Linked DNA regions of Tamandua tetradactyla. The protein of the gene in region 4 purifies or fractionates together with the protein of the main gene of each other region. This does not show direct contact. Links are inferred from orthologs where the notes say so. Each region holds a gene or a part of one and is shown on either strand. Other genes may lie near its edges. The genes, in order: PARP2, XRCC1, LIG3 and RNF146.

The links.
Region 1: the proteins of RNF146 (region 4) and PARP2 purify together in Homo sapiens (affinity purification with mass spectrometry; 4 studies listed by BioGRID and IntAct, counting the BioPlex papers as one, with this or other methods). This does not show direct contact. The link is inferred for Tamandua tetradactyla from reciprocal best matches to the Homo sapiens genes RNF146 and PARP2.
Region 2: the proteins of RNF146 (region 4) and XRCC1 purify together in Homo sapiens (co-immunoprecipitation; 3 studies listed by BioGRID and IntAct, with this or other methods). This does not show direct contact. The link is inferred for Tamandua tetradactyla from reciprocal best matches to the Homo sapiens genes RNF146 and XRCC1.
Region 3: the proteins of RNF146 (region 4) and LIG3 purify together in Homo sapiens (co-immunoprecipitation; 3 studies listed by BioGRID and IntAct, counting the BioPlex papers as one, with this or other methods). This does not show direct contact. The link is inferred for Tamandua tetradactyla from reciprocal best matches to the Homo sapiens genes RNF146 and LIG3.

What each region holds. Positions count from the first base shown.
Region 1 is NC_135340.1:36,325,339-36,332,241, reverse strand, and holds the start of PARP2 (poly [ADP-ribose] polymerase 2), read left to right. Parts: upstream 1-3,886; 5' UTR 3,887-4,431; coding exon 4,432-4,474; intron 4,475-5,473; coding exon 5,474-5,638; intron 5,639-5,953; coding exon 5,954-6,024; intron 6,025-6,657; coding exon 6,658-6,708; intron 6,709-6,903. UniProt on the Homo sapiens protein: Poly-ADP-ribosyltransferase that mediates poly-ADP-ribosylation of proteins and plays a key role in DNA repair.
Region 2 is NC_135342.1:21,214,644-21,222,018, reverse strand, and holds the start of XRCC1 (DNA repair protein XRCC1), read right to left. Parts: upstream 3,014-7,375; 5' UTR 2,875-3,013; coding exon 2,824-2,874; intron 2,446-2,823; coding exon 2,353-2,445; intron 1-2,352. Other genes in the region: PINLYP (phospholipase A2 inhibitor and Ly6/PLAUR domain-containing protein), read left to right, coding at 4,109-4,178, 5,090-5,206, 6,816-6,968, 7,202-7,345. UniProt on the Homo sapiens protein: Scaffold protein involved in DNA single-strand break repair by mediating the assembly of DNA break repair protein complexes. Negatively regulates ADP-ribosyltransferase activity of PARP1 during base-excision repair in order to prevent excessive PARP1 activity.
Region 3 is NC_135332.1:46,372,420-46,379,695, reverse strand, and holds the start of LIG3 (DNA ligase 3), read left to right. Parts: upstream 1-4,267; 5' UTR 4,268-4,406; exon of another isoform or gene 4,407-4,410; intron 4,411-6,790; 5' UTR 6,791-6,794; coding exon 6,795-7,276. UniProt on the Homo sapiens protein: Isoform 3 functions as a heterodimer with DNA-repair protein XRCC1 in the nucleus and can correct defective DNA strand-break repair and sister chromatid exchange following treatment with ionizing radiation and alkylating agents.
Region 4 is NC_135331.1:188,536,864-188,544,260, reverse strand, and holds the start of RNF146 (E3 ubiquitin-protein ligase RNF146), read right to left. Parts: upstream 3,004-7,397; 5' UTR 2,896-3,003; intron 1,540-2,895; exon of another isoform or gene 1,448-1,539; intron 1-1,447. UniProt on the Homo sapiens protein: E3 ubiquitin-protein ligase that specifically binds poly-ADP-ribosylated (PARsylated) proteins and mediates their ubiquitination and subsequent degradation. May regulate many important biological processes, such as cell survival and DNA damage response.

The DNA.
Region 1 (6,903 bases), on a different chromosome or scaffold from region 4:
GGGTAGATGGAAATACTAGTGGTCAATGAGAGGCAGGGTAAGGGGTATGGTATGTATGACTGTTTTCTCTTTTCTTTTTATTTCTTTTTCTGGAGTGATGCAAATGTTCTAAAAAATGATCATGGTGATGAATATACAACTATGTAATGATATTTGTGAGCCATTGATTGTACACCATATATGAAATGTTTGTATGCTAAAAATGCATGTGCCTGTACATTGTCTTATCAATAAAAATTTTTTAAATCCCATCAAATGTCTAAAACCCCTTCATGGCATTCTGCATTCCAAATTTTAATACTCATAACAACCTGTTACAATAGTCTCGTTAGCTGCTAATATTAAAATTTTGTGCACAGTAAAAATCATTTTGAGAGTTATTTAAAAGTAGATTCCTGAGATACACTTCCTGAGATTCTAATTTAGTGGGCTGGTTTCAGCCCTATTATTTTAATAGGTACCTTCAGATGCTTCTGATGGGTTTAACTGAGGTCCACCTTTGGAAAACAAAGACTAGTTCAGGATGTTATCACTGCTAAAATGAGTAGACTCCTGGAAAAGGTAGCACTTTTCAAACTTTTCATTTATAATACATTCAGAATGAAGAATATGAGAAGAGCATTTGTTAGTAAATAAAAGTTAAGCATACTATTTGCACTAGAAAGTCCACATCTGTACTTATGCCCAAAGAGGCAATGATGACCCTTGGTTGTAATAGCAAAAATAATAATAATAATAAAATAAAAATTACTATGCTTATCCAAAGGTGAATCAGCAAATCATAATATAACTTTTTCATCAAATACTACCCAGCAGTTACGGAGAATGAGGCAGATTTGCACAATCTACCATGGAATGATCTCCAAAGCACTTAAGTGAAAAAAGTTAAGTTGCAGAATAACACATGCAATGTGCTCACATTTTTTATAGCACCCTTCACAGAAAGGCAAAATAATGTATTTTTAAATGTGCAGACATATGTCTATGGATGAAAAAAAAAATGGTTTGGAAAGAAACACACTAAGCTATTAATAGTTGTTACACCTAGGAAAAAGATAGTGGTTGGGGTGGGTCTTCTTCTTTTTAAGAATCTGAACAAAGAGAATGCATTGATTTTTAAACAATTAGATAGTACCCCACCACAACCAAAATAAAGATAGTGTACAGGAGTACTTTTTGATAAAGGAGTGGGAAGAGAAAAAGAAGAAACCCCTAACCCCCTAAGGCAGAAGAAGACAGCCTCCAAAGTCTAAAAGAATATGGCACTGGATGACTAACCCCTAAATTAGCCTAGGGCTCTAGAGATTGGACCGTCCATGTGTTCACCAACCTTACCCCCAGTTACTACTTTTCCTCTTTGCTTAAGCCTTAGGCCTCGCCATTTTTTAGTATCTCTTGAGGATCCTCTTCCCTACAAGGTTGTTGCAAAGGGATCCTCCACATCTCCTTTCCTAGTTATTCCATATTTCTGAAGACATGAACTCAAATTCCTTTAAAGGTGTTTCTGATTCATGATTTTACTAATCACTTCTGGGAAATAAACAATACAATTTATATCAAAATAAGATAATATCAGAAAGCTGTGGGCTTTGCTGCACTTAATGCAAGAATGAAGACGATTCTGCATAATCACATTTTTAAAAATTCCTGGTGTAATCACTCAGAACCTTGATTTGTAGATCAAGGCAGATCTCAAACCCATGTCATGGTCATATGTGGCAGTGCACAGCGACAGATGTATTCCATGTTGAATGAACGCTAGCAGACACTGGGTTCCCATTGGGTCGCATTCTCAGATAGTCACTGCCCCTTGGCAACAGCTATTCACCTGGGTAGCCAATGAAAATCTTCCTCTTAAGGTGCTGCACAACGATAATCTTAGACATGTTCTGTGTAAATTGTTATCCTTTTCATAATACTTTCCAACTGCATGGAATAAATGCCTTAAACTCTCTGAGCCTGAATTTTCTTTCTCCTCTGTATCATGGGGATAGTTAACATCTTCCTTCCTAACAAATATACAAAAGAGTCTATTCAAATGACTAGTTCATAGAATGTGCTCAATTCATGGTCAACTTCCTTATTCATTCTCCACTCACATTCATAGAGGAAGTAAAAAAAGTAATTACCTGATGTAATTATACTCATCGCATAATAAGCATTCAGTAACTGTTATCAGTACTAAAATTAAACGAGGTATTGTATTTACTTATATAAAGAAAGCTCAATTAAATATTAGCTACTTTTAATAATAATTTCCATTTTGATACATTTTCCTACTCCCAAACTAATGCCTTTTAGACCTACTCTAAACTTTTATTTGTGCCATAATTAAGTCAAATACAAAAGGCTCTAATTTAGGACTGAAACAGATCAACCAGTACAATACACTGTGACATTTGCTAAGTGCTATTTTATTACATTCATTCCCAAATATTTTATACAGTTTAATACTATAAACGGTTTACTTTCTAAAAATTTTATTTTCTTGCTGTCTAAGTCTCTTTTATAAAGAGACCAATTATTCTACGTATTATTAGGTACATTATATATGTATACAACCTTCCATTCCTACTAATTTAAAAATTAATTCTGTAGTTTCTTCTGGAATTTTTATATTCATAACGAAATGACATGAAAATAATGAGATTTTTGTTTTCTTTTTTCAAAAGTTTATTGTATCTTTTGAACAAAATTTCTCAATTTTAATAAAATCGAATTTATCTTATGGCAATAACTTTTGTGTTTTAAGTAAACCTTTCCCGACTCCAGGGTATTAAAGAGTTAATTCTATTTTCTGCGCAGGGTTTCCGAGTTTTATTTTAGGTCGTTCGTCCTTGATCCATCGTAGTTCACAGGCGCAGAGAGCCATAGCAGGGCAAAGCAAAACCCGTTGGACTGCGGAAGCTCAAGTCTTGGCTGCCTCTCCAGCGTCCCCCTACACCACTCCCACTCCCCGTTGCTCTGTGTTCTGGCCACCCTGCCTTCCTGCTTCACGGGCTGATTCTTCTGATGCACTCAATTTACCTTAGTGCAGAGCTCCCAATCTCCCTGACTCGTGTTCCCCCAATACAACACTCCCTAGCACTGCCTGCTTCTCCTTAGTAGCGCTTTACTGCCACATTTTTACATTTGCTTGTGTGATTACTTGATTAACGTGTTCCCAACTAGACTATAAGCTCCAAGACTTATGTCTATTTGGGCTAAACTACTGTAACAAATAAGTAACTGTTGAATTAATGAATATCCTAATTTTGAACTATCCTTCCATACTTGGGATAAAATCTACTTGTCTGTGTGGCTTTTTTATTACGCTGCTGGAATTTATTTGCTAATATTTAATTTAAAAGTCATTTATTAATGTATTTAAATTGAACCCTCATTTTCCCTTACCGGGGACTATTATAGCCTAACAATATACAAGTGTTGTCTGAGAATCACCAGTATCAGTTAGTTGGTTTGCTGGTCAAAAATGCGGAGCTCTGGGAACGTCTCCCCTACCTCAGAGGGTCTGGGGCGGGGCGCGGTAATGGGCTTTATAGTATGCAGCCCTGGGACTCTGACGCATTCAAATACTAGAAACCCCCTGACCTGAAGGACCTCTCTTATGGTCTCTGGATTTAATACAGCCTTACATACTGGCACCCCGATGACCACGTTTCTCTCCCCGTGGGGCGTTCTCTCGTTCATGCATGCCAGATTAATGCGAACTTGCCGCCCTGGGCCCCTCCTTGTTCCAAGAGGTGCTATGCAGTTTCGGGCCTCAGCACTCCGTCTCCCCTAGACAAAGCTTCCATCACCTTCGTAATCACTCAGTATTTATCTGGCAGCTGTTATAGACAGAGATATTTTTTTCTAGAAAGCAAAAAGAAATAAAAAAGGACGGGGGAGAGTAGTCTGAATTGGGTTATGAGGCCCCACTACGGGGTACCTCACCTCAGCCATTGAACTCTCTGGAGTGCTGGCCGTGAGTCTGTTCCAAGCTCCGCCTGAGGAGGCATCCGCCGGGCCCTACCGGGGGGGGCGGGTCCACGGCATCTCCTGCCCAGTCTGCCCTCGCGCGGAGCCCCATTCTCTGGGAACTCACCTCCCCGTATACAGGGAGAGCCCTGTTAGGGCCGCTGCTGGCCCTTGTCTCAGACCTTCCCAAGGGACGTTGCGTAGAGTGACGTGACGCACTCCGCTCGTAGCCCCACCGATGAGCTTCCCTCCGCCCTGTAGAGAGAAGAGGGTGTTTGCCGGATTTATAAGATTCCCACTGCTAAAGACATTTCACAGTTATGGTGACTTCCCACAACACTTGGCGATATGCAAATATCACGGAGTTGGCCCTGAGGCGCGGCGAGACGCACGCGCGCTGAGAGTTCCCGCCTGCTCACCCTGGGTCCAAGGTTCCTGAAGGCGGGTTGAAGACTGCAGTGTTTGGGTGCCATGGCGGCTCGGCGCAGGAGGACCGTCCGCGGACGCGCGCCAGGTTCGGAGCTCAGTGTGAGGGTATTGAATACGGGGAAATCGGAATAGGAAAAGGAACTGTGCCCCTTGCTCTCGGCCCTTCGCTTTCCAACACTCCCTGCCCCGAACTTCGTAGTCTACCAAACTAGTTTTGTTACTAAACTATAGTTTGGCTTTTACAGAGCCTTTTAGATTGTGGAATTGTGGATAAGAGCTTGTCGGCCTGTGTCACGTAACGCTTGCTGTGTGTGCCACGCACTAAGTACCTGTCATCGAATTTATAAAACATCCATTGTGAGATACACCATTCTTTTATATATCGTTAAGAAAATAACTTCCGATTAGCCGTGATTCACTGCTAATATATCACCTATTGTAAGATGCATGTCAGTTTCAGAGATGTTAAAATTGTATGAGCCTTGAAATTGATGAGGTACAGTACTCTGTATCATGTTCTGTAATGCATAAGCTCACCCTATAAATTATATATGATTATCATCCTTCGAGGTGGAAAATCAAATACCTTGTCCAGGTTTCCACAGCTAGAGGAGGAAGAGTTGGGCCAGGCAGAGGCTCCAAAACTACTCTCACTGCCTCAGGTAGATTGAGGATAGGTATTTAGAGAACCCAAGGGCGTAAGTAAGCAGAAGAATAAATCCTGAGTGATCATGTGGTGAAAAATAAATCATGAGCGATACAGACAGTGTAACATTGGGATTGCGTCAAGGAGATGGGTCCAGAGCCACAGAGGAAAAAAATTGTTTCTGTAATTAAAGCCATGGAATGGTGAACTCGCCAGAGTCTTCGGGCTTCCTTTTATTTCATTTCATTTTGTTTTATTTAGTTTCTTATGGAGTTTTTACTCAGATTGTAATTAGTGTGGCGATTGTTGTGTCTTTGGTAACTTTTACAAAACTATCTTAAACCATTCTTTAAAAGATGATATTTTTTCCAAGTGGAATCTGAATCAGTGTGTCCTCATTCTTTTGCTTCTTTCTGTGCCCATTCTTCATATCCTAAGCCTCTGTAGGGTTAACTGAAACCGAGAAAATCAGTAATGGGAACATAGCTGCAGAAGATTCTCCTCCTGCTAAGAAAACTCGCAGTTGCCAGAGGCAGGGGTTGAAAAAGGAGCCTGTGGCTGGAGGAAAAACTGTTGATGGTGACAAGATAGAAGGCAAGCAAGGTCAGCTTCACATGTGGGCCAGGGAGGGCACAGGCCAGCAAAGGGTCTGGGGGAGGTGGGAATATATGTTGTTCTTTCAACTCTTATTTCTTCTTTCCTTAAAAATATTATTAATTTCTCCATCCTCTGTGTATAACCCAGGACTAATCTACTTTGTCAGAACTTCGTTTTTATGTGTTTGAGATGGATTGAAACCTAGGCAGAAGTTCAGGATTGCTTGGGAAGGGCCGAATTAATTATGACAGTGTTTCATCTAACCATGACAGCTACTTTTGATTCCCGTACAAGTAGATATGATATTATTTTTTTCCTCAGAATCTATGAAGACCTTGCTTTTAAAAGGCAAAGCTCCCGTGGACCCAGAGTGCACAGTCAAGGTGGGGAAGGTAAGAGACACTGCAGCCCATCCTTAATCCATTGATACCTCAGAGAGCAGTGTTCTTCTGTTATTGAGATTCTTGCCTGGGTCATCGCTAGTATTGTTTTTAGAAATCTTCTTCAAAATATGGCTAGTGACTGATTTTCTCCAAATCTGGGGGCTGAGAGTGGTGAAGTTTTGGGTTAATGATTGAGATATTTATAACATGGTTAATTTCTGGGGTAAACCATCAGCCTTTGGTCCCTCATTCACTTTCTCAGTCAGAAAACTGTATCATTATTAAGGAAGAATCTTCCTCTTTGTTCAAATGGGAGAATGTGCTTTAGAATGTCTTGAGTTACTGATGGTTGGGAAGCGGATTTGAAGAATACAGAAGAAAAGCTGCCTCTTCAGCTGACTTTCTTGAACTGAAAATCCTTTGTTTCTGTAATGAGAAAAAAAGCAGCATGTTATATAATAGTGATGGGCGGTGTATAGGAGAATACATGTTTGCATTTCTTTCCCCAGAAGATAGAATAGGTAGATGGTAACGGTGCTGAAGAAGGCCACTGTGATGGTTGAAGCATAAGAAAATTCAGAGCCTGACTTATGATCTGATCAGGGCCGAGACGATACTAATGTCAGTTTTTCCCCTCTCTAGGCCCATGTATACTGTGAAGGGAATGATGTTTATGATGTCATGCTTAATCAGGTAAGGGGAGAAACCATTCTATTTTTGGAAGTTATCTTATTATTATTGATAGAGTTCCGAATGCCCAGATCTTTAATTTTGAAGTTCTTTATATTAGTCATACTTTCCTAGTACACTCTGCCTGATAGTGAATTCCTCTATGAAAAGCAAATCTTTTTGCAAATTTCGTGTCTTTTCTAGAACCTGTGAACTCTG
Region 2 (7,375 bases), on a different chromosome or scaffold from region 4:
ATACTGGCAACCACCAGAGGCCATCAGATTTTCCGGAGGGTCTCGGATGTGGACCAAGTTAACAAGCGCTGAAATGCTGGAGGCCCTGCTTCTGCCACTGCCTGCAACAGTGTGTTCTCAACATGGGAACCAGACGGAGCTTGGGTAAATTTAAGTCAGATTCTGTCCCTCCTCTGCTGAGAACCCTCCAGTGGCTCCCATCTTAGCATAAAAGCCAAAGTCCTTGCAGTGGTTTTCCAGGCAGCCCACAAGTGTCTCTTCCCGGGGAGGCCTTCTCTGACCCTCTATTTAAATGAAAACTCTCAGCACTCACCATGGTCCCGTCCCCTGCTGAGGGACTCCCTATTCCTCTCAAACTACTTAATTTCCCTCCACTGCATTCATCATCTGACTTAAGTTTAATTACTGGTTTGTTCATCAATCTTTCCCTACAAACATGGAAGTCCCACAAGAACTGAGATGGTTTTTGTCCTGTGCTGTTCACTGCTATATAAACCCAGCACCTAAAGCAGTGCTTGGCCTAGACAGTGCTGAATAAATATCTGTTGCATAGATGAATGAACAAACAAACAAATGAATCCATTCATTCCTAAGTCTGCCCCTGTACCAACAAGCCCCTTCCGTCTCTGGCTCCACATCTAATCCCTCCTTGTCTCCTGGATGCCGCTCCATGGATATCCCAAAGTCACATCAAACCTGGATGTCCCATCTAAACATATCACCTTCCCAAACTGCCCCCTCTCTGGGTTTCCCATTTCAGTGACAGCTGCACCTTTCCCCTCAGTCTTTCAGGTCACAGAATCCTATGCCTCATCCTAGCTCCTCCTGCTCCCTCACCTTCCACGTACTCTTTCCTGCCTGTCTATCTGCTCTCACTACAACAGGCACAAAGGACTGCACGTGACTTCCCTGGTATCACCCGATCAGAAGAGAGCCCAGCAGCTTTACGTAAACACCTGCATGTTGACAGAGCACTTCTGCAGACATTATGTCACCGAACTGTCACAACAACCCTAGGCTTAGATCTTATTATTCCTAATGGACAGATGATAAAACAGGTTCAGAGAAATAAAACAATTTGCCTAAGGTCACAGAGTGAGCAAGAGAGAAACTTGAATTCAGGTCCCAAGACTAAACTGTAAGCAACCTGTACCTCTTTCAGTTTAAAACATTTGACTCTTGGGCAAGTTGCATAACTTCACTCAGCTTGAGTTTCCTCATCTGTAAAATGTGAACAATAGATCCTAGGTCATGAGGTTTTTATGAGGAGTCAATGAGTTAATTCCTGTGAGGTGCTTAGAACAGTGACTGCCAGGTTGTAACACTCAATAAACGTTAGCTCTCATTTTTACTATGCAAAGGATTCAGGAGATATTTAAATTCCCCAACTCATTTCGAATATTTTGTAAGTCTGTGTTATTTTCTGGGAAGAGAATCCTCAGCTTCTATCAAATTCTCAAAAAAACCTCTGTGACCCCAAAATTTTTTAGAATCAGCAAGCAAGACAGAGAAAGAGAATACGATCAGAATCAAATGCAATCATGCAAGTCCTGCCTGACCTCCCCCATCGCTCCCCCAAATACCCCAACATTCAGAACTAAGGAATGTGGCCCAAATCAAGAAAGCTAGAGAATACAAGGCAGTTGGCAAAGTGGTAAATAACACCAGTACTCAGGTGTGAGTTCAAGTCCTGCCTCTGTCATTTATTGCTAGTGACAACTTTTGTGATGACTGAATCCATATAAAACACCTAGCCAGCAGTAAATGCTTAATATGTATTTAGCTCTCTTCTCCCATAATTTTCTTATCCCTGACAGGAACAGCCTGTTTGGAATTGTGTAACCATTTCAAGTCAGGCCACCCTTTCCTCCCTCAGGTTTGCCTCCCTCTAACCTCACAGGATTGTGGCCTGGATTGAGAGTATGAGCAAAAAGTACTCAGAAAAAACCTGGCCAGCATTTCAGTTCACTTCCCCCCACCCCCATATTTCAGTTTTCCTATCTTGAAAATGGTCGTTGATTGGCTTAGATGCGCTCAGGGACATCTTCCATCCCTGAGCCCACTGATTCACTTTGTTCGGGTTGAGGAAACCGAGACCCAGAAAGCAGGAGCAATCTATTGGGGCTACACACTGATTCCTATGGTTGTCCCTGGCCTAGTCCTGGGGATCCTTCTCTCCCCTCCTGAGGGGTACCAGTACCATGCTGCCCATTTTCCTGGTAAGAAAGCTGAGGCCCAGAAGAGAAAGTGACTCAGCCCTTGAGCCAACTGGCAGTGGGCTGAGTCACTTTCTCTTCTGGGCCTGGACCCTGGGTCTCCAGACTCCTAGTGGGGGGGGAAGGGCAGGGTCACCTGGAGGACCACAGAGATGGTCTTCTCGCCTGCCTTGGCAGCCCGCCATTTTCGGTAAGTGTCCGCCTTGAGGAGGTTTTCTGCACAGTGAGTCTGGGGGCAAGAGTGGAAAATGGAAGAGTTAGGACACGGAACCGAGGGCCAGACCCTCTCAAGACCTTTGCTAGTTGTCAGATAAGCTCCCCATTAATCCCCCACTCCTGCCTTGAATTCCCCCTGCAACCTTTTGCCCTGGAAGTTCACCTAATTGCTCTCCAAGGAACGCCCCTATTCCATTTTTTCTCTCCGGAAGTTCCAGAGATGTCCGGAAATTCCCCTATTCCTCAAGTCTCCGAGGATTCACTTACAGCATCCTGGAAATTTCCACTTGGCCCTTCTTAGATTTCCCTCAAGTTCCCTTTTAAACCCAGAAAGTTCTTGTGGAGCCCCCCTCCCCCTAGCAATTCCCACCTCCCCCACGCTGGCCCTCACCGAGTCCTGGCTGCTGCAGGACACCACATGGCGGAGGCGGATCTCCGGCATGCCAACGTCTTGGACTTCGCGGGGCCTGAAGGCTGAAGGAGGGTCGGGGTTTGGGTGCGGGGAGGGGTTGCTCCTCCGCGCTGACTTCAATGCGCACGCGCGCCGGGCTCGGGCCTTTCAAACTGCGGCGCGCCGGCACGCGCGTCAACAGCGCGCTTGCCCAGTCGCGCCACTCCAGTAGGCGGTGCTGAGTTTCCTAGCAACGAACTTTTCTCTAGTCCCGCCTCTCTCCGGCCACTCCACCCTCTAGTCCCGCCTCTTGGTGACGTATGCACTTTCTGGGCGCCCAGCAACAGGAGCAGCCTCCAAGATTGGTCCCTAGTAGAAATTCGCCATTCTCATTGGGCGATGCAGTCACCACGCATACTGAAGCCTAGAAAGCCAGACAGCAAAACCCGACTTAGAGTGTCATCTGGAGTCTTGGCTTCCGCGGCTGCATCCCACCGTCTCCCCGCCCCTATAAAAGCCTAAGAGCTCTTTCAGGTTATGCCTGAGACCACAAGAGAGTAGGTCACAGATCTAAAACACAAAGCATGCACTCACCCAGCCTACAGTGTTTCCACCCTTGCCTCAGTTTCCCAATATGTGGCCTGTGGGCATCAGTCTCCTACCGCGCCTGGCCCTGGCCGCTGACAAGCATCCCTCTGTTCAGTTCCCGTGTGCAAGCATGCAGCCGTGGGCTGAGTCGGAGCCGGCGATAGTCCAAATACAGAAGCAGGTGAAGGAGAAGGGAAGGGAGACAAGGCTCCCGGGCCCCCGCAGAACGAGCCTGGACACGCTGATGCTCCCGCTGGCGCTCCCAGGTGGGGCCCCACCCATGCTGGGTGCCTCCTTGGAAAGAGAACAAAGGAAGAGGGAATCCCAGACCTTGAAACCGGTGCAACCCCCCCCCCAACCCCCACCCCGGGGAATCAAATACTCCATTCCGACCTTGGGCGTCCAGCAAAGAAAATGGACTGTGGGAATGTGAGAGGAAACAGGGCAGTGACCTTCTGGGTCCTGATGGAAGAAAGAGCTGGAAGTCTAGGCCACTAGGGACCTGTGGAGAAGGGGCTGGACACCAGATGCCCAGGTCCCTTTTGGACTTGGTTCCGCCTCCCGCACCCCAGGGCTGGTGAGGCCTGCCCTGCGCTCTGACCTCAGCTCCTTCTTGCCTCAGGGTGAAGGTTGGCCGGGCCGCCCTTCCTTAGCGTCTTATAAGGGCTGGGGACCCAGGACTGCCTGGTGACACACCATGAGGCCATCGGAGAGTCCCAGGACCTTCCTGCTGGCCTTGGCGCTGCTCTGCACTCTTCTGGGCCTTGGTGAGTTGCTGGGGGCCTGGATTCAGGACACCCCCAGGAAAGAGGGGACTGTGGAAGAGCATTCAACAGGGTCTTTAAGGAGGAAAGGGGAAGTATCTTGAGAGCTCGGATTAATGGAGGAGGCTAAAGGAAGAGAAAGCCTGGAAACCCCAAGGGAAGAAAAGCTCACATGATTGAATCCCTGAGAGGAAGGGGCTTGGTGGGCCCTGATTCTCCTGTACCCCAGGCAGATCCCAAAATAAGACATGAGAATTCTAGGAAGTTAGATAAGAGCAGGACTAGAAAGAGGAATCTAATTTTAAAAACAGAAAAGACCAAGAGACTCCCTTTCTCCCAGGCCACCAGCTCCACTTTCTCCAGGAGACACCTGGGCTTCCCTCTCTCAGGCTAAGGGGTCCATGTGCCCACCCTTCCAGAGGTCATTCTCCCTCCTTAGCCTAGGATGTAGACCCCAGCCTCAGGTACTGCTACCTGAGTTCCTGTTGACTACAAGACCTCCAGTTGTACCTGCAAGGGGGAGGGTCTCAAACTGCAGAATCACCTGTTCCTGAAGCTTCACAAAAGTCCCTGGAAGCCTTCGCCACGCCCCTCCAGCCCCCAAGCGTTCTCAGAGGACCCTAGCATCCAAAGCCCCCAGCCTTGTAATTAGGTATCTAGGTTCTGTGGTGGAGTCGTTTCCTGCCCCTGGAAGCAGCTTGCAGGCATCACCACTGCGTCCCTGTCAGGGCTCTGCATAGTTCTCTGGACAGTTCCTTGGACCAATGCTCCGCCCATGAAAAACCTGGGAGATGGCAGGACCCTCCTTCGTAAGGACCAACAAATTGTGCCCTCTGCCCTCGTCTCCCTCAGGGCCCCGAAGTGGAAGTCGTGGTTCTCAGACCTCGGCTACAGTCCCGCCCTCTCCCCTGCAGGGTGCCCACTAAGCTGTGAGGTGTGTAAGGGCCCCGGGCCCACGTGCAGTGGAAAACTGAAGACATGCGAGGCAGGCAAGGATGCCTGCGTGGTCATCGTGGGGGAGTCCAGCACAAGTAAGAGGGTGGGCGTTGGACCAAAGGTGCCATCAGGGTAGAAACAAGATACCATGTGCTGGGGGGTGGGGGCGGGGGAGATGGTCATCACTGTCGTGGAATGAGTGGCGCAGGAAGAAAATGTGCAGGAAGAGGGCAAGAATATCTCGAGGTGGAGGCAGAAGAATTCAGTGGGGCATCAGAATCCATTGTGGTCAGGGATTTCTAAAAATGAGACTCTCCAATAAGGGAGGAAGAAGTCTATGGGGGAAAGAATGCAGGGTAAATAAAGAGACTATTGTAGATGGGAGGAGGTGAAGGAAGAACATAGGGAGACAGAGAAATGATGAGAAGGGAAGAATCTAATAAGCTAGCGAAAGAAGAGGGGAGAGCCCTGGGGGTGAGGGGCAGTCAAAGGGTCAGAGAAGAGACGATTCTAGAGGAGATGAAGGAATCAACCCAAATCCCCTGGAATCACCCCAGGGATGGTGAGGGTGGCATGGGCTGGAAGAGAACATTCCCGGCAAGAGGAGGAGAGACGGTGTTGGGATTAGGGGAAAGTGAAAAGGACCACCACGATCGGAAGGGGGAAGATAACCACGAATTATCGAACAAATCATTATAGAGAGAAGTAGAGATGGGGCAAGTGCGTAGGCTGGTGAGTAAAATGTAAGGGACAGGAGGTGTGTGACTCAAGTGGAGACCATCCTAGACCTGAGAAGCCATGGGTGGTTGAGATTGCAGGGGAAGAGACCACTGGGGACCTTCCTCACAGGAGTGATAATGGGGCAAAGTGTGGGAGGGAAGACTGTGATGGCAGGTGAGGGGTAACTGAATGCAGGAAGAAACCAGCCCCACTGGAGGGAGAGAGGGAGAAAGGTGGGACTGAAGACTGCGCCCATCCCATCCACCCAGCAAGTGTTGGGGCCTGGGGGACGGATCTGAAAGGCTTGAAGAGACCACCCCAGACAGATATAGGAAAAGAGGTTCTGGGAGGCTAGGAGGAAAAAAACCCTATGGGCTGGCGCCTAGAGGGAAAACCTTTGGATTGGGTTGGAAAAGACCACCATGGGTCGGAGAAGGGGTAGGCTGTGGAGACTGGCAGAGACCACCCTAGACAGAGAGGGGGATAGGTGTTGGGGGAGTGGGGCAGCAGCCCAAGGTTTGTTGGGCAGAACCACCCCAGGGTGTGGGGGGAGGATGAAAGTCTTGGAGGATGGAAGAGACCACACCACAGGGACAGGGGAGTGGCCATACTGGCCTGGCAAAGACAGCAAGGTGCTGGAGGAGAGGATGGCCTTGGGGTGGGTGGGAAGGGACCATGTCAGGCAGGCAGCAGGGATGTTTGCAGTAGAGGACTGCAAGAGACCACCAAAGGAAGACTGGGGCAGGGAATGTAATGAGTAGAGAGAGCTACCTAATAAACCACTCCAAACTGAACCCTAGGCAGACAAGGGGAGATGATTTGGGGAGACTAGAAGAGACCACTCCAGGCAGAGAGGGAGGTATGGATTGAGGAAGCTGGAAGAGACTATCCCAGGCAGTCGCAGGGCAGGGAGATGTTGGGTTACGGGAGACTCGAGGCTAGGGTGGGGTCAGCTAGCGTCGCTGAGCCGGCCCCACCCCGCAGAGGGCCAGCAGTCGGTGAACACCTACAAGTCCTGCATGAAGTCCAGGGACTGCTATTCGGGGTTCGTGTCCACCACCATGGGCCCCAAGGATTACATGGTGTCCAACGCCCGCTGCTGCCAGAGCGACGGCTGCAACCGCGACACCGTGCCCCGTAAGTGCCCGCCCAGCGCGGCGCCGCGAGCAGTTTCCAGCCCCGCCCCAAGAGTCCGCGGTTTCTGGCCCAACCTGCTGCTGTTCGGCTCCGCGGCGTCGGGAAAGCACTTGGCTGGCTCAGAGCTTCCGTGTCCACACCTGTACAATGGGTTGTACAATGTCCCTTAGCATCCGGGGTTGTCTGAGTTCAGGAGAAGGGCTTAAACGGTCACCCCACTCTCACGCCCCCAGCTCCCCAGAACAATCGCACTGAGAACGGGCTCCACTGCCCCGCCTGCATCGCGCCGTTTCAGGAGACCTGCCCCGGGACCCAGGCAGCCCGCTGTGTTGGCCAGGAGACCCACTGCATCTACTTTGCTGGCAACGTGCAGGCCGGTGAGGGGACAGGGGCAGGGGAGCTGGAGG
Region 3 (7,276 bases), on a different chromosome or scaffold from region 4:
TCTTACCCAAGCCCCAGAAGCCTTTGTCTTTGCCCTGGATCAGCTACTCCCAAAGGCACCCTTGACTCCTCTCGACTCTTCCTTATTCTTTCCTACCTCAAATGACAGCTGCAGCACAAAGACATTCAAAGGAGAAGCCAGGAAATCCCTCCAGTTAAGAACCATCTTCCACAGCCTTTATTATCCCTCCAGTTAAGAACCATCTTCCACAGCCTTTATTTAGAAGAAGACTCACTAGCTGATTTGAATTATTATATCTTCCTGCAACTGTTCCTTTTTAAACATTTATCCTGGCAAACACTATCACTGTTTTTTACAGCTTATTTTAATTGTGCGACTATTAAGCAAACCAAACCGTAAAATCAACTCTCACTGCTGAGATTTATGTGGTTCATAGACCAGAGCTTATCAAAAAAGGAATCCACGGAGAAGGTGTGAGGCCGCTTTCCTATCTCTGCCTGTGGCTTCCAAGCTTTTCATAGAGGGTCGCACAGAATCTACCCAATTCCCTCAGACTTTTTTTTCCTTCTTAACAATCCTGATGAATCTAAATGAATAGTCTTTGTTTTTTTAAAATATTGATATTTTTATTGATAAATCTTAACATATAAACAGTCCATACGTGGTGTACAATAAATGGCTCACAATATCATCACTTAGTTGTGCATTCATCACCATGATCATTTTTCAGAACATTTGCATCACTCCAGAAAAATAAATAAAAAGAAAAAAAAAACTCATACATACCATACCCCTTACCCCTCCCTTTATTGACCACCAGCATTTCCATCTACCCAATTTATCTTAACCTTTATTATTTGTTCATTTTCCACCCATATTTTTTACTCATCTATCCACACCCTAGATAAAAGAGCATCCGACACAGGTTTTCACAATCATACAGAGATTGTAAAAGCCATATCATCATACAATCATCTTCAAGAACCAAGGCTACTGAACACAGCTCAACAGTTTCAGGTACTTCGCTCTAGCCACTCTAATACACCATAATCCAAACTGATTCAGTCTAAAAGGGGATGGTGGAACTCTAAGAGAAGCTCACAAACAGGATAAATGTCCTGAAAAATTTACGATAAAGGTCTAAGGCAAGGACTTAATTATGAGATTGGGTGAAATAGATATCTTGATTATTTGACAATATAGTTCTTAGTTAGGACTATGGAACAGCTATCAGACTCCAATAAAAGCTCTCCCTCCAAAAATGCATGTTCACACAAACATTCACATAAAATTTTAAGGGGTTCAAAGGTACCCAATTCCATCCAGGCATCACTTGGGGTCCATAAGCCTCAGATTATTTCTTACTACTTCCACTGTTTACCCTCCCCACTCCCCCAAGCTACTCTTGTTTCTGTCCTAGTTTATTTCAGTAGCCACCCAGCTCATCTCCCAACTTCTCTACATAGTAGCAAGAGTGATCCTGTTAAAATACATCAGAATCATGTCATTTCTCTACTCAGTAAAGTCCATGGGGTTGCATTTCACCTGGAGTAAGAGCCAAAGTTTCTACAATGGCTTACAAGGATCTGTCTCCTTGCTTCCTTGCTAGCCTCACCTTCTACTCTTCTCACCCTTAACTCATTCTGCTGTAGCCACACAGATCTCCTTCCCGTTGCGTACATGCCAGGCACATTCTGGCTGCTGAGCTTTTACTGATACTCCCCTTCCCTGAGTTCTCCATGAGGCTCTCTCCTTCATTCCTTCACTTTGTCATGAGGTCTTCCTGACCTGTATTAAAGACTGCAACCCACCACCTTGCCCAGCACATCTGATCCTCCTCATCTGCTCTTTCTCCACTGCACTCATCCTTTTACATACTATGCATTTTACTTATTACTGTATTATTAATATTTATTTCCCACATCAGCCTGATAACTCCATAAGAGGAGGGCTTTTTGTCTGTTCTGTTTTACAGCTGTATTCCAGCTCCTGAAATAGTGCGTGACAGAGTAGGAACTCAAATACTTTACTGACTGATTGATGACTAACTAAGTGGTAAAACTTTGCAGTGGTATGAAGGTGTCTAGGCTGGGGAATGGAGGAGCATGCACATTTACCACAAAACTTCTAAGTGTGAAGCAGTTTGCAAGTTATACCAGCCATTTCACTTAATCATCACCCACAATCCTACTTCACCAGGAAAACTCAGTCCCCAAGAAGTTAAGAATAGAACCTGAGGTTATACATCTAGTGGCAGAACACAATTCAAACTTGGGTTTACGTGATTCCAAAGCACTGCTTTTCCCACCATCACAAATTACCTCATTCTCCTTAGGAGCAGTTCCTACTTCCCTAAGGAAGTGCAACTGTCGGCTCTCACACATGGTTCCATTTCACAGAGAGGGATCTGAGTCACAGAGACATTAGGGGTCCCTTGGGGTTCTAATTAAGCACAATAAATATTGAGAGCCTGAGACCTTTTGCAAATGTACATAAAACACATTTACTTTGTCAGAAAACTATATTATGAACATCCTTCCAAGGGACATCACTTTCTAAGTTTCATTCATTCATTCCATTCACTCATGGTTTTCCTTGATTTATTTATAAATATGTGCTGAGTGCCTATTATGTGCCAGGCACTGTTCTAGGCACTGGGGATAAAAAGATGTATAAGATACAGAGGTCACGTTCCACAAATAGGCTTGAAGTTTAGGACAGTGCTTTATCCAAAAGAAATATAATGCGAGCCACATATGTAATTTAATATTTACTAGTAGCCACATTTTTAGAAGTAAAAATAGGCAAAATGTATTTTAATAATATATTTTATTTAATCCAGTATATCCAAAATATTATAATTTCAACACGTAATTGAAATACATATATTATTGAGTTTTTAACATTCTTTTTTTTGTACCAAGTCTTCAAAATCAGTGTGTATTTTATACTCACAGCACATCTCAACTTGGATTAGCCACATTTTAAGTGCTACAGCATTGGACAGCACAGGGCCAGAAGAAAGGACAGATACATTTGAGGAGATTTTTAAAACAATGTTCTAATTGCAGTGATAATGTACCTTCAGGATCATTCAACTACCAGTACTAGTACTTTAGCCTTCATTGACCCATCAACCCCAAAGACCTAGATCATTTTGCTATACCAAAGTAGAGAAAAGAGAAAGGGGCTTTACTCTATTGCAAACAGTGGAATCGTGGTTGACCTCAATCAACGAAACTTAATATATCTAAAACAAAACATCCTTACCCCAAATACCTTTACCTCCCCTATTTTCTATTTCAGTTGATGGCACCATTATCTACTTGCTCACTTAAGTCATGCTCATTTCCTCTTTAGACAAATGAACATTTTATCCAGGAGGTAATTTTTTAACCTCTTATTTTGAAATAATTTCAAACTTACAGTACAGATTATAGAAGACTGTTTAGAATATAAATGTTTCTCAAAAACACACCTTCCTCTCCATCACAGCTACCTGAGCTAATTCAGGCCACTTAGCACCCTTGCCTTACCCTCTCTCCTACCCAACTTTGACAGTAATTCCTATTCTGTAAAACTCTTCAGGGCTCTCCATCACTTACAGAATAAAGGCCAAGCTCTTTATGACACAGCAAATAATTTCTTCCAGGATCTGACCTTTGCTTACTGAACAATTGGCCCAACTGTCCCCTGACCTTGAACGAGTTCACGTACCTTCTCTAAACCTGCTACCCCTTTGTAAAAATAGCCATCCTAATCTTTCATAAAGATCACTGGAAGTTCAAAGAGATAATATTTAAAACAATCTACAATGTAGGAGATTATTTCCCCACCATGCCTTTACACAGTTTCCTATCTATCATTATCGTCTATCCATCTATCGTATCCACATTGCGCCTTTTGCAGTTCAATAACATTTACTGAATACTTACTATATGCTAGGCATTGTGCAAGATAACGAGAAGGCGGAACACCGAGAGATCGGCTGAATAACGCGACCTTTGCCTTCCCCAAGCTCATTACAATGTAATTTCTCAACTAATACGCTTTAACTCAATTGGACTATATGATCTCTAACAGCACGAAAAAATCAGGGGGATCCTCAGAAGTTCCAGCCAGGCCGCACTTTGGGACACCACCACGTCCCCTTATCTCTGCTTCCCCAGGCGGCGATCGCAGTTCCGAACGCCCCAAAACCCAGACAACCAAAGACCAGGGCCACGTGGCACAAACTGCCCACGACCCACGTGGTAGGCCGGGGGCGGGGACCCGCGCCAGCGCCGAGACCTGCGGCGCAGCTTGGGCCTTCGCTTATGCGCTTGCGCACTGTCACCAGCTCAAGGACCCGGATTTAAAGAGACAGGAGCTACAACCGTCGTGGGCTGCCCACGGCCTCTGGGCGCCTGGACCCAAGGCCTACAGTGTGCGCTGGAGCCGGAAAGGCAGGTGAGGGCGGCGCGGCGGGGCTGGCAGTGTGGGGAGGAAGCCGGTGGGGACCCGAACCTCGGCGCGGTCCGGGAGCCAGCCCCCTCGGCTCCTCCCCCTCCCGCCTGCGGAGCCCGGGGGCACACCCTCCATGACGTGGCGGCCCCCGGGAGTCCACCCGGGAGGTGCCTGGTACCTTGAGGCACCCCCAAGATACCCGCGCGAGGAATAGTGCCTGCTCACATCCCCGGGCGTGCGGCCCTTCGGGGCCCCTCCAGGGACTTCTTCTGTGTCCCTGCCCCTGCATATTCCCCGCAACGAAGTTGCTGCGCTTCCCTAGGAATTTGGGAGCCTTTCTCGTTCCCAGCGTTCGCTGGCCGGGTGGAAGCGTGCTCCCTTCCCCAGCCCCGCTGGCTGTGCCCGCGGGTCCCCTCGGCCTCCAGCGTGCTGATCCCGAGGGACTCGGAGGGTCTAGCCTTAACGCCGCCCGACCCCGCTTCCCCGCCTCCTCCCTTCCTTGAGGCCGGCTCGCGGCGCCCGGGTCGGTAGTCCCTACCCACTCCGCGAAAGCGTGGCGGGAGGCCCCTTCAGCAAGGCAGCTGCAGGGGTTTCGCTTTCCACCCCGCTGCAGCTCACTGGCCCGTGGCCGTCTGCGCTTCTTTGAGACCTCAGCGATTTCCTGCTCGGGCTCCTTCCAAGGAGTTTATGCGTCGCGGTGGGCCAGAGCCTCAGGAGCCTCCTCTGAGGCTGAGACTAGGGCGCTGCGAGATGCTCTGGAGTCTGTTTCTTTAATTATTTACAGGGGCGTAGGGGTAGGCGTGACATAATTAGGTCTGTCTTCTAAGAAAGATTTCAGGTTCTGAGCTTCTCTTATGGGCCTGCCGTACTTTCCTATACATCATCTCTGTAGTTCTTAAACTTTTGAAGATTGTAGAACCCTTTGTGAATCTCATGAGAAAGTTATGAACCTTCTCTCCAAAAATACATTTACAAGTATGTACATTTTCAAGGAGATTAAACCATGTTACCGCCCCCCTCCCAGGCCATCCATGGGCTTATTTTAATTTTCACAACCACCCTGTGAGGCAGGTATTATTTTCCCTGTTTTAGAAATAAGAACGCAGACTCAGAGAAGTTAAAAAGTTTCTCAAAGTTAAAATAACATATATGCTGTATGATCAGACTTTAAGCTGCCAAGACTCCCTAATTTTTGAAAGACCCTATGCATTCCTCTGTACCATGTTGCAGTACCGTAGGTAAAGGCCTGTTTTTGTATAATACAATGGCAATTTCACTACAAAGCGGTGTGCAAACTTGAAAATGACTTCTAGTATTTTAAATATTAGAACTTTAATTCTTGCCTCCTGTGCGGGAGACCTGGGTTCAGTTCCTGGCCGGTGCACTTCCCAAACCAGGAAACCAACAAACACAAACAAATAAAAAATTCAACAAAATAGTGCTGCAATAGCGGGATACTCACATGGAAAAATAATGAAATGTGGTAACCCCACCATACAACATCCAAAAAAAAAGATACTTTGGAAGATATAAACAATATAAGAAGATAAGGAGATACCATTTGGATATAATCCTTGTTTCCATTTGGATTGATTTATCAGTTTCTTTGACTCTTGTCATCCAGTTACTTCAGAATTCTCTGACTCAAATTGCTGAATTATAGACAGGCATATAATTGTACATAGGGTACCACTGTTTAAAGTAACTTCTTCATTGAAGATAAGAGCTAACATTATTGAGCCCCTGATAATGTGTCCAACTCTTTTCTAAGGGCTTACCCCTTAGAACAGCAATGCTTTGAATAAGTACTATTGTCGACATTTTACAAATGAGGAAACTGAGGAATGGAGAGATTAAGAAACTACCAAGTTCACACAGCCGGTAAGTGGCTGAGCTAAGGTTTGAACCCAGGCAGTCTGATTCCAGGCTCCACTTAGTTGCCTCTCAAAATAGGGTTTTGGATTAAATCACAAATCCATGTAATGGTTTGTTTTCTAGAGGATGACGTGTTATATCTCACATTGAATACTTTATGGACATATGTAATTTTTCTTAATGATTAAAAAGAAACTTCACGACCTTATAATACTTAAATGTCATCATTCATTATGAGTCTCAGGGATTGCTGAGAAAACAGGATAAGCTTTGTATTATTTGGGTTCTCTTAGTTGTGATTACTGGATATACGTGTGTATATTAATCAAACACCTTTTGCAAACTGGATTTTCCATTTACTGGAACTCTTCTTCATCCTGTAGGAAATAAACTTTTAATACTTTTGATTAGTCAGCCTGGGCCATATAGACCTTTGGCTTTTGAGCAAATTGGAAGTTTATCTCCTCATTTATATCTCATTTACTCTGCTTCTCACCCTTTCATGCAGCTGTATGACTTTAGCTTTCAGGATCCTCTTTCCACCAACCTTCCGTGCATTCAGCCGAAAAGAACCGTGCCTGTTCCGAGAGCGACATCGTTGGCCTGACATCAGACAGTTTAACCAGTGGCTAGAAACAGATCTGCTTCATGGGCGCTGCCCTCTGACAAAAAAGCCTGTTCTGTCATTCCAGCAAGGCAATCAAAAACCACGAACCACTTGCCTTGTTTTCTTGCCAGGGTTGCATGTGGGACTCTGCAGTGGCCCCAGTGAGATGGCTGAGCAACGATTCTGTGTTGATTATGCCAAGCGTGGCACAGCTGGCTGCAAAAAATGTAAAGAAAAGATCGTGAAGGGTGTATGCCGAATTGGCAAAGTGGTGCCCAATCCCTTCTCAGAGTCCGGCGGTGATATGAAAGAGTGGTACCACATTAAATGCATGTTTGAGAAACTTGAACGGGCCCGGGCCACCACAAAAAAAATCGAGGATCTCAC
Region 4 (7,397 bases):
AGTTAAAATATAGAATTTTTTTAGTATTTGAAGGGTTCCTTAATTTCTCCAATTGCTAACAGCTAATTTTACTAGTATAGTTTTTACCCTTTATTTATTCAAAATACACAAAACAGGGAATGTTCTATTTAAAAGTTTTAAACGAGAGATAGGAAAAATACTTCAAACCTTCCAATCTTGGGTATACTAACTCAAAATAAAAACAGTAATAATTGCAAAAAGACCAGAAAAAGAAGTAGAGAAATCAGATGTTATTTAGCAGATGCATCTTAAGTTTCTTGAGGAGTTCCAAATTGATAGACGTAACTAAATACCCTAATGTTTCCATTTTTACCTTTCCCTATTATGTTCTCTTAAAAACTGAAAGCAGAGGCCATACTTGGAAACAGACCTCTCAGTCAAAACTCATTTCAGTTATATGGGCCCCCTTTAGAGAACTATTTTAGCACTTACCACTTCTCAAAAAAATTACTGTATGATAATCCACAACCTTTAACAATCTTCCCTAAATTTCCCTTAAAAAAAAAAACTGCAGCCCTTTAATTTTAATAAAACATTAGCAGTAAATAGGAATAAATAAATATTTTAAAATCATATCAAACACAGCAGTGTTTTTACAGCTGGCACCATTTGGTAAATAAGAAAGGCTAGGCTCTGTCCTATTCGTGCGACCTTGGTCAAGTCTTAACTCCCAAAGCCTAAGTTTCTACACTCTATTAATTCTGTAACACTAATTAACAGACATTTAACAAAAGGTTTGGTTTTAATTAACCCAAAAGGCACTGAGCCATGAACACTAAATACAGTCCATAAACAAGCACGGGTGATTGTAACCCCAGTGTCAGTTAATAAGATGGTTCCATACCCAAAGATTGTTCCTAATCCAAACCATCATTTCACAAATTCAAGTTTCTTAGTCACAAACAAAAACCAAACAGGAAAACGAAAAGGTTCGCCACAGTAAAACATTGTCCCAACTAACGGTACATCAGGAGTTTCATGTAGTGTATGGCCAGTACGTAAATGTTTCTAAAACAGATGAGTGTAGTGTTATGAAACAAAGAAAAGATTTAATTCTATCCTTTATTTCTACTAAGTCAAGAAATCATTTTCTTGATGCTTTAAAAAAAAAAAAGTGTCTTCTGACAATTTAAGTTGGTCGAAACTGAAACAAAAAGATTTAGCAGTTGACATATCCCCCAAAAGAGAAAATGTCATTCCTTTTCTTCCTCTTGTCCAATGACCAGTTATTTGGAGAAACAGTTTCCCTGGCGACCATAATCCTATCAAACTCTTAATAACCATAAAATAACAAAAAAACTTCAAAATTTTCCATTTGCCCACAACTTACACTGGCCCATTTGAGACATAAATTCTAAGTCCAATTCTGATGCCTGACAAAATGCTCCAATTTAAGATATACAATGTCCGAAGAAAGACAACCAACCTCTATTTTTAGTGTGGCAGTCACTCTTCCGGTTCTCTCCAAAATCAGATTTCCTTGACCTATTTTCGTGTGTTCAGAGTATTTGTATTTACTCAATTTTTGCGGTTCCTAAAAACATCAACAATCTTGTGCCACGAGGGTCTTCTTCTTCACTGGTTCTATACGCTACGTTTAAATCTAAATATAGATTGATTTATTAAAAAATAAAAAAACAGCCTTAAGTCTTCTAATTCTGTAATTCTGTACTGCTTTCAATGCCAATGTTATACTTTCACATCCCATTTAAACAGTACCCACACACGGGGGAGTGGGGGGTGCCAAACACTTGAAACATCACTTACAAATATAAAAAAAAAAAAGCATTTCCTAGCATTTCTCAGCTTTCTTCTCCCTTCAGTTCAGTATTCCAACACGACAAAAATATCACTTCAAATACACGTACTTTGAAAACTTGAGTTAGAAGCACTCGCTAAAACGACACTTCGGGAAGAGAACTGGCACCCAATACGAGAACGGCTAACCGGGAGGGGAACCGCAGCGGGCCAGACGTGGGTCAACTCAGTCCCGCGGCCGTGCGGGCAGGGCTGCTCGTCTCCACACTCTCAAAAGCCCTTTGCGGCCAGAAAACCCAACAGGACCAGCACGGAGACCCGTGCCGTCGGCGGGGACCGGGCCGAGGAGGGAGTCCGCACCCCGCAGCCGGGACCCAGCGGCCCGGCGACCCGGCCAGTGTCCCGACGCTTCCACAACCGTCAAACCGAGGAACACGCAGCGCCGGGGGTGACGAGGCCATGGCGGACGGATGGCTGTCGCCCTCGCGGACAAGACCCAGGGATCGAGAAGGAGGAGAGGGAGGAGGAGACAGCCAGACACCCGGAAAACGACCAAATCCATCCGAGGCAGAGGCAGCGCGGCGGGCCTCGCCTGACCCGAGGTCCAAAAGGCATGACTGCATGGGAAACCAGGAGCCGGGTACCCCGAAACCACCGCCGCCCCTCAACCTCGGGCCAGGAGGCCCCGCTGGAGGCCCGACGCCACCGCCGAGGGCGAGAAGGGCCCGCAGACCCCCACGGCCAGGACGCGGGCCCGGCGGGACAGGCCGCGCAGCAATGGCCGCGGCTCCACCTCGCGCACCCCGCCGAGGCCGGTTCCCGGCCGCCGCGGGCCACGGAGAGCCCGCCACAGTATCCAGGCCTGCGACAGCAGCCTGCGCGGGGGCGCGGCGAGCGTGGAGCTGTCCCGCGCCGCCTCCGCGCCGCGCCGGCCAAGGACGTCCGTGTACGCCCCGGCCCGACCCGCCGCCACCCCTCTCGGGCCGCGAACGCAGGGCCGCGGCGGCGCGGCACGGCTGAGGGCACGGCGCGGGCCGGCCGGCTCTCCCCGCACGAGGCACCCGGAGTGGGCTGTTCCCACCCTGCCCCCCACCAGGGCTTCGCCCCGACTCCCACCTCTCCCGCCACGGCCGCGATCACTTCGCAGTCTTTTCTCCTCGGCCTCGGAACCCGCAGCGGCCGGGAACGCGCGCGGACGTCACGTGACCGCCCGGCGCGCCGCGGGAGCGGGGCGGGGCCGCGCTGGGGGTGGGGCCGCGCACGGGCGGAAGCGGCGCCGCGCCGCCAGCGCCCCGTCCCTGCCTTTTCTGGGGACCCGCACTTTTGCTGTCTGCGGACTTCTCACCGCTTTCCATTGCCTTTTACTAGTCTTTGGGTGCCGGAGGTTCGGAAGAGACGTGCTGGCACTGGAGGGAGAGTCAGAGTGGAGGAAATGAGACGGGAGGGCCTGCAGGTCCAGCTGCTCGGAAAGCCGTTCAGGGCCCAGAGGCCTTGGGTTTCGTGGTCGAGAGCCCTCGGGGAAAGCCCTGCGCGTTCTCTTTCCAGTAAAAACCGGGTTTCTCGGACGCTACGGTTTATTCACCCTACGAAGCGCTCAACAGTTTAATCGAGAGGGAAAAAAAGGACCTTCCCTTCTGTTGGGACCCATTATGCGCAATAGAAAAGGGCATAGGCAGCTGGAGGAAGGATTTATCAGCTTAAGAATCTGAAGTTAGAGGAGAGGCAGCGTTTGGGTTGCGCGCTGTGGTTTTAAATATCATCGTTCTGGCAGTAGTCTCCATTTCGTTTTAGCATATGCAGTGCCTTTTTCGGAACTGAATAAATTTTTAAATTTATAGTAAAATGAAGAGGGTGGGAGGGAACGCGTTTTAATCCATAAAAGAGTATATATTTCTACATTCCATGGCAGCCTCCTTACTTGCAGTGATACGACGTTGGGGATGTCATTAGCTCTTTTATTCTGGCTTGGGAGAGCTCGGTGTCCTTGCCAATGTAGAAGTGTGTACGTTTTCTTTTGTTTCTCTGAAGTCCATGTATTTCCGGGTCCTTGCTCATGGCATTACTATGTAACCAGTATCTTAAAGGGTTCATCTATCTTGTTTAATGATGTTTGCTCTCATAAGCAAAACTGTTTTTCTTCTAAACTATAATTTTAGGAATATTGAAGTGTATATATGTCCTTCAACTTGAAGCTTTATTCCGTATCCTTATCCTTTCCTCAGCCATCAGGTTTTACCCCTCTATCTTACACAGCCCATGAACAGATAATAGCAAAACATTTCATATATATTCATAAATTGAAGCTTAAAGAGACAATATTCACCTTTATTTACAATGTACCAACCAGTGTTCTCAGTGCTTTACACATATAAACTCGCTTAATGTCACCATAAGCCACAAGATAGGTGCTACTGTTATTCCAACGTTTCGGATACAGGCACGGAGGAAAACAGTCAAAAGTCGTAGACTGGGGCTTGAATCTAGACAGGGACTAAAAGAGTTCACCTGGTCCAACTTTTCATTATACCAACTGGAGGAACAGATAAAACAGGTTAAATGACTTGCTCATGTATTTTGTGAGAGAAAGAGATGGGATCAGAACACAGGTGTTTCTGGGTCCCTCTGGCTTCTGCCCATCTCATTCATACCGACACTCACAGTCTTTGCCACCTCAGTGAATGGCTCTGTCCTTTCTTATCCAAACACGTCTTTACTTCCTTTCGTTCTCTTATGTTCCACATTCAGTTATAATCTGTTGGCCTTTCCTTCAGAGCACATACATACCCGACCACTTACAGCCTCTCCTACAATGACATCAGCTGTTGTTTGCATTATTGCAAAGCCCAGGAACTGGTCTTCCTGCTCTTTGCTCTCCTTTGAATCTATCTTCAAGAAAGAACCCAAAGTAAAGGTATTTGAAAGACAGTCAGATCATATCACGCCCATGACCTTGCAGAGTGTTCACTTCACTTCTTAGATGGCTGCACAAGCTCCCAACCTCAAAAGTCCTTCCAGTTGCTATTTCCTCTGCTAAGAAAACTCTTGCCCAAAATAGATTGCTCAAATGTCACCTTTACAGCCAGTCCTCCACTGCCACCCTATTTTCTTCTTCTTCTTCTTTTTTTTTTTTTTAGGTGCATGGTTCAGGAATCAAACCCAGGTCTCCCACGTGAAAGGCCAGCATTCTACCACTGAACCACCCGTGCACCCCACTGCCACCCTATTTTAAATCGCAATATTCCCCATTTCCAATATTTCCCATTTTCCATTTCCCCTTCTTACTTTTTCTCTCTAATACCTCTCACCATGTAATGAATAAGTTATTTTACTTATTCATCTTTAGTGTGTGTCTCTCCACTCTGGAATGTAAATCTCAGAGAGCAGAAATTTGTGTTCTATTTTGTATTCCAACAGCTGCGAACAGTGTCTGACACGTTTAGGAGAGGCCCTCTGTAAATACGCATTGAATGAATGCACATGCACATCTGCATGTATGTATGTGTATATATGCACATATACGTATTTATATATTGAATAATATATAAATAAAAAGTGAACTTCTTGGCATTTGTCACCAACCACATATAAAAAGAATAATTAAATCTATCGAACAATATACACCCTATCCAATCAGTCACCTAAATGGAAGATAGTGATTAGTTTCTATTTCTGGATAATCCATGACAGAAGCTCCCAATATTGCTAGAGGTGTGTATTAGTTAGGGTTCTCCAGAGAAACAGAATCAACAGGAAACACTTGCAAATATAAAATTTATAAAAATGTCTCATGTAACTGTGGGAATGCAGAGTTCTCCACAGGGGCAGGCTGTGAAGCTGATGATTCCAATGGAGGGTCTGGATGAACACAGGAGAAGCTCACTGGCTAAAGCAGAAAGAAAGCCTGTCTCCTCTGAATCATCCTTAAAAGGCTTCCAGTGATTAGATTAAGTATCACTCATTGCAGAAGACACTCCCCTTGGCTGATTACAAATGGAATCAGCTGTGGATACAGGTACGTGATCATGATTTAATTCTATGAAATGTCCTCATCACAACAGAAAAGCCAACACTTGTCCAACCAGACAAACAGGTACCACAACTTGGCCAGATTGACACATGAACCTGACCATGACAGTCCACCCCTTGTCAACTTGGCAGCTATATGTATCACCTTAAAGCATACCTAATTTCTAAATAAAAAAAAACAATAAAACACATGTTTTTTCTTTCACCTAACAATATTCAACTGTCCTACATATAACTGGAAATACATTAAATCTCTCCAGAATAAGGTGCAAGTCCTTGGGTAATATTTATTCTTAAACTTGATATCTTACAACATGAACAAAACAGCATTACAGTCCTTGTTTCTGTAACTGATCATGTGATTGTACTTCATATTTATCACTACCTTCTTCAACTACCCATTCCATGTTCCCTTTACCCTCAGCAAGCACTTCAGCTGGCCGTAGTTCTTTGCCTGGTGGGGTGACCCAAACCTTCATTCCTGAAGTTTCAGACCCCTTGGTAGTCCTGCCTGGATTGGGTTGTTGCAGTTTTCCATTGATTTTAATTACAGGGCATGGTAGTACTAAAAGACGCCCTAGGGGATCTCCTATATTCCAAGAAGACTCTTCTTTACCTCCACTATGTAGTTGCAGTCCTATTTCCCCCTGATAGTCAGGGTCAATCACCCCAGTCAATAATGTAATCCCCTTCTTGGCTTGTTGAACCAAGGGCATGAGTAGCCCAAAGTGACTAGGTGACAGTCTTAGATTCCAATTCAATGTAATCATTGTTGTTTCTTCTGGTGGAAACACATCCCATTTTGCAACTAAAACCTATAGACCAACAGAGTTCAGGGTCACAGGGGCAGGAAGCAAAAATTTACCTAGTGGATCATTAAGGATAACAGTGAGTGGTACCACACCCATTTCCACCCCTTGGTTCCTGGACCCATGGATCCTGGCTATGGGAGAAACAGCACCATACAGGGGATGCTGATTCAGAGCATATACAGCTTCCTGGAGATCATTACCCCAGCCCTTCAAGGTATTGCCACCTAGTTGGCACTGTAATTGAGATTTCAAAAGGCCATTCCACCATTCTGTCAATTCAGCTGCTTCTGGATGATGGAGAACATGGTAAGACCAGAGAATTCTATGAACATGTGCCCATTCCCACACTTCATTTGCTGTGAAGTGTGTTCCTTGATCAGAAACAATGCTATGTGGAATACCGTGATGATAGATAAGGCATTCTGTAAGCCCATAGATGGTAGTTTTGACAGAAGCATTGCATGCAGGGAAAGCAAACCCATATCCAGAGTATGTGTCTATTCCAGTTAGAACAAATCGCTGCCCCTTCCATGAAGGGAGTGGTCCAATGTATTCAACCTGCCACCATATAGTTGGCTGGTCACCTCAGGGAATGGTGCCATATCGGAGGATGAGTGTGGGTCTCTGCTCTGGCAGATTGGACACTAGCAGGAGCTGTAGCCAAGTCAGCTTTGGTAAGTGGAAGTCCAAGTTGCTGAGCCCATGCATAACCTCCATCCCTACCACCATGACCACTTTGTTCATGAGCCCATTGTGCAGTGACAGGAGTTGCTGGCAAAA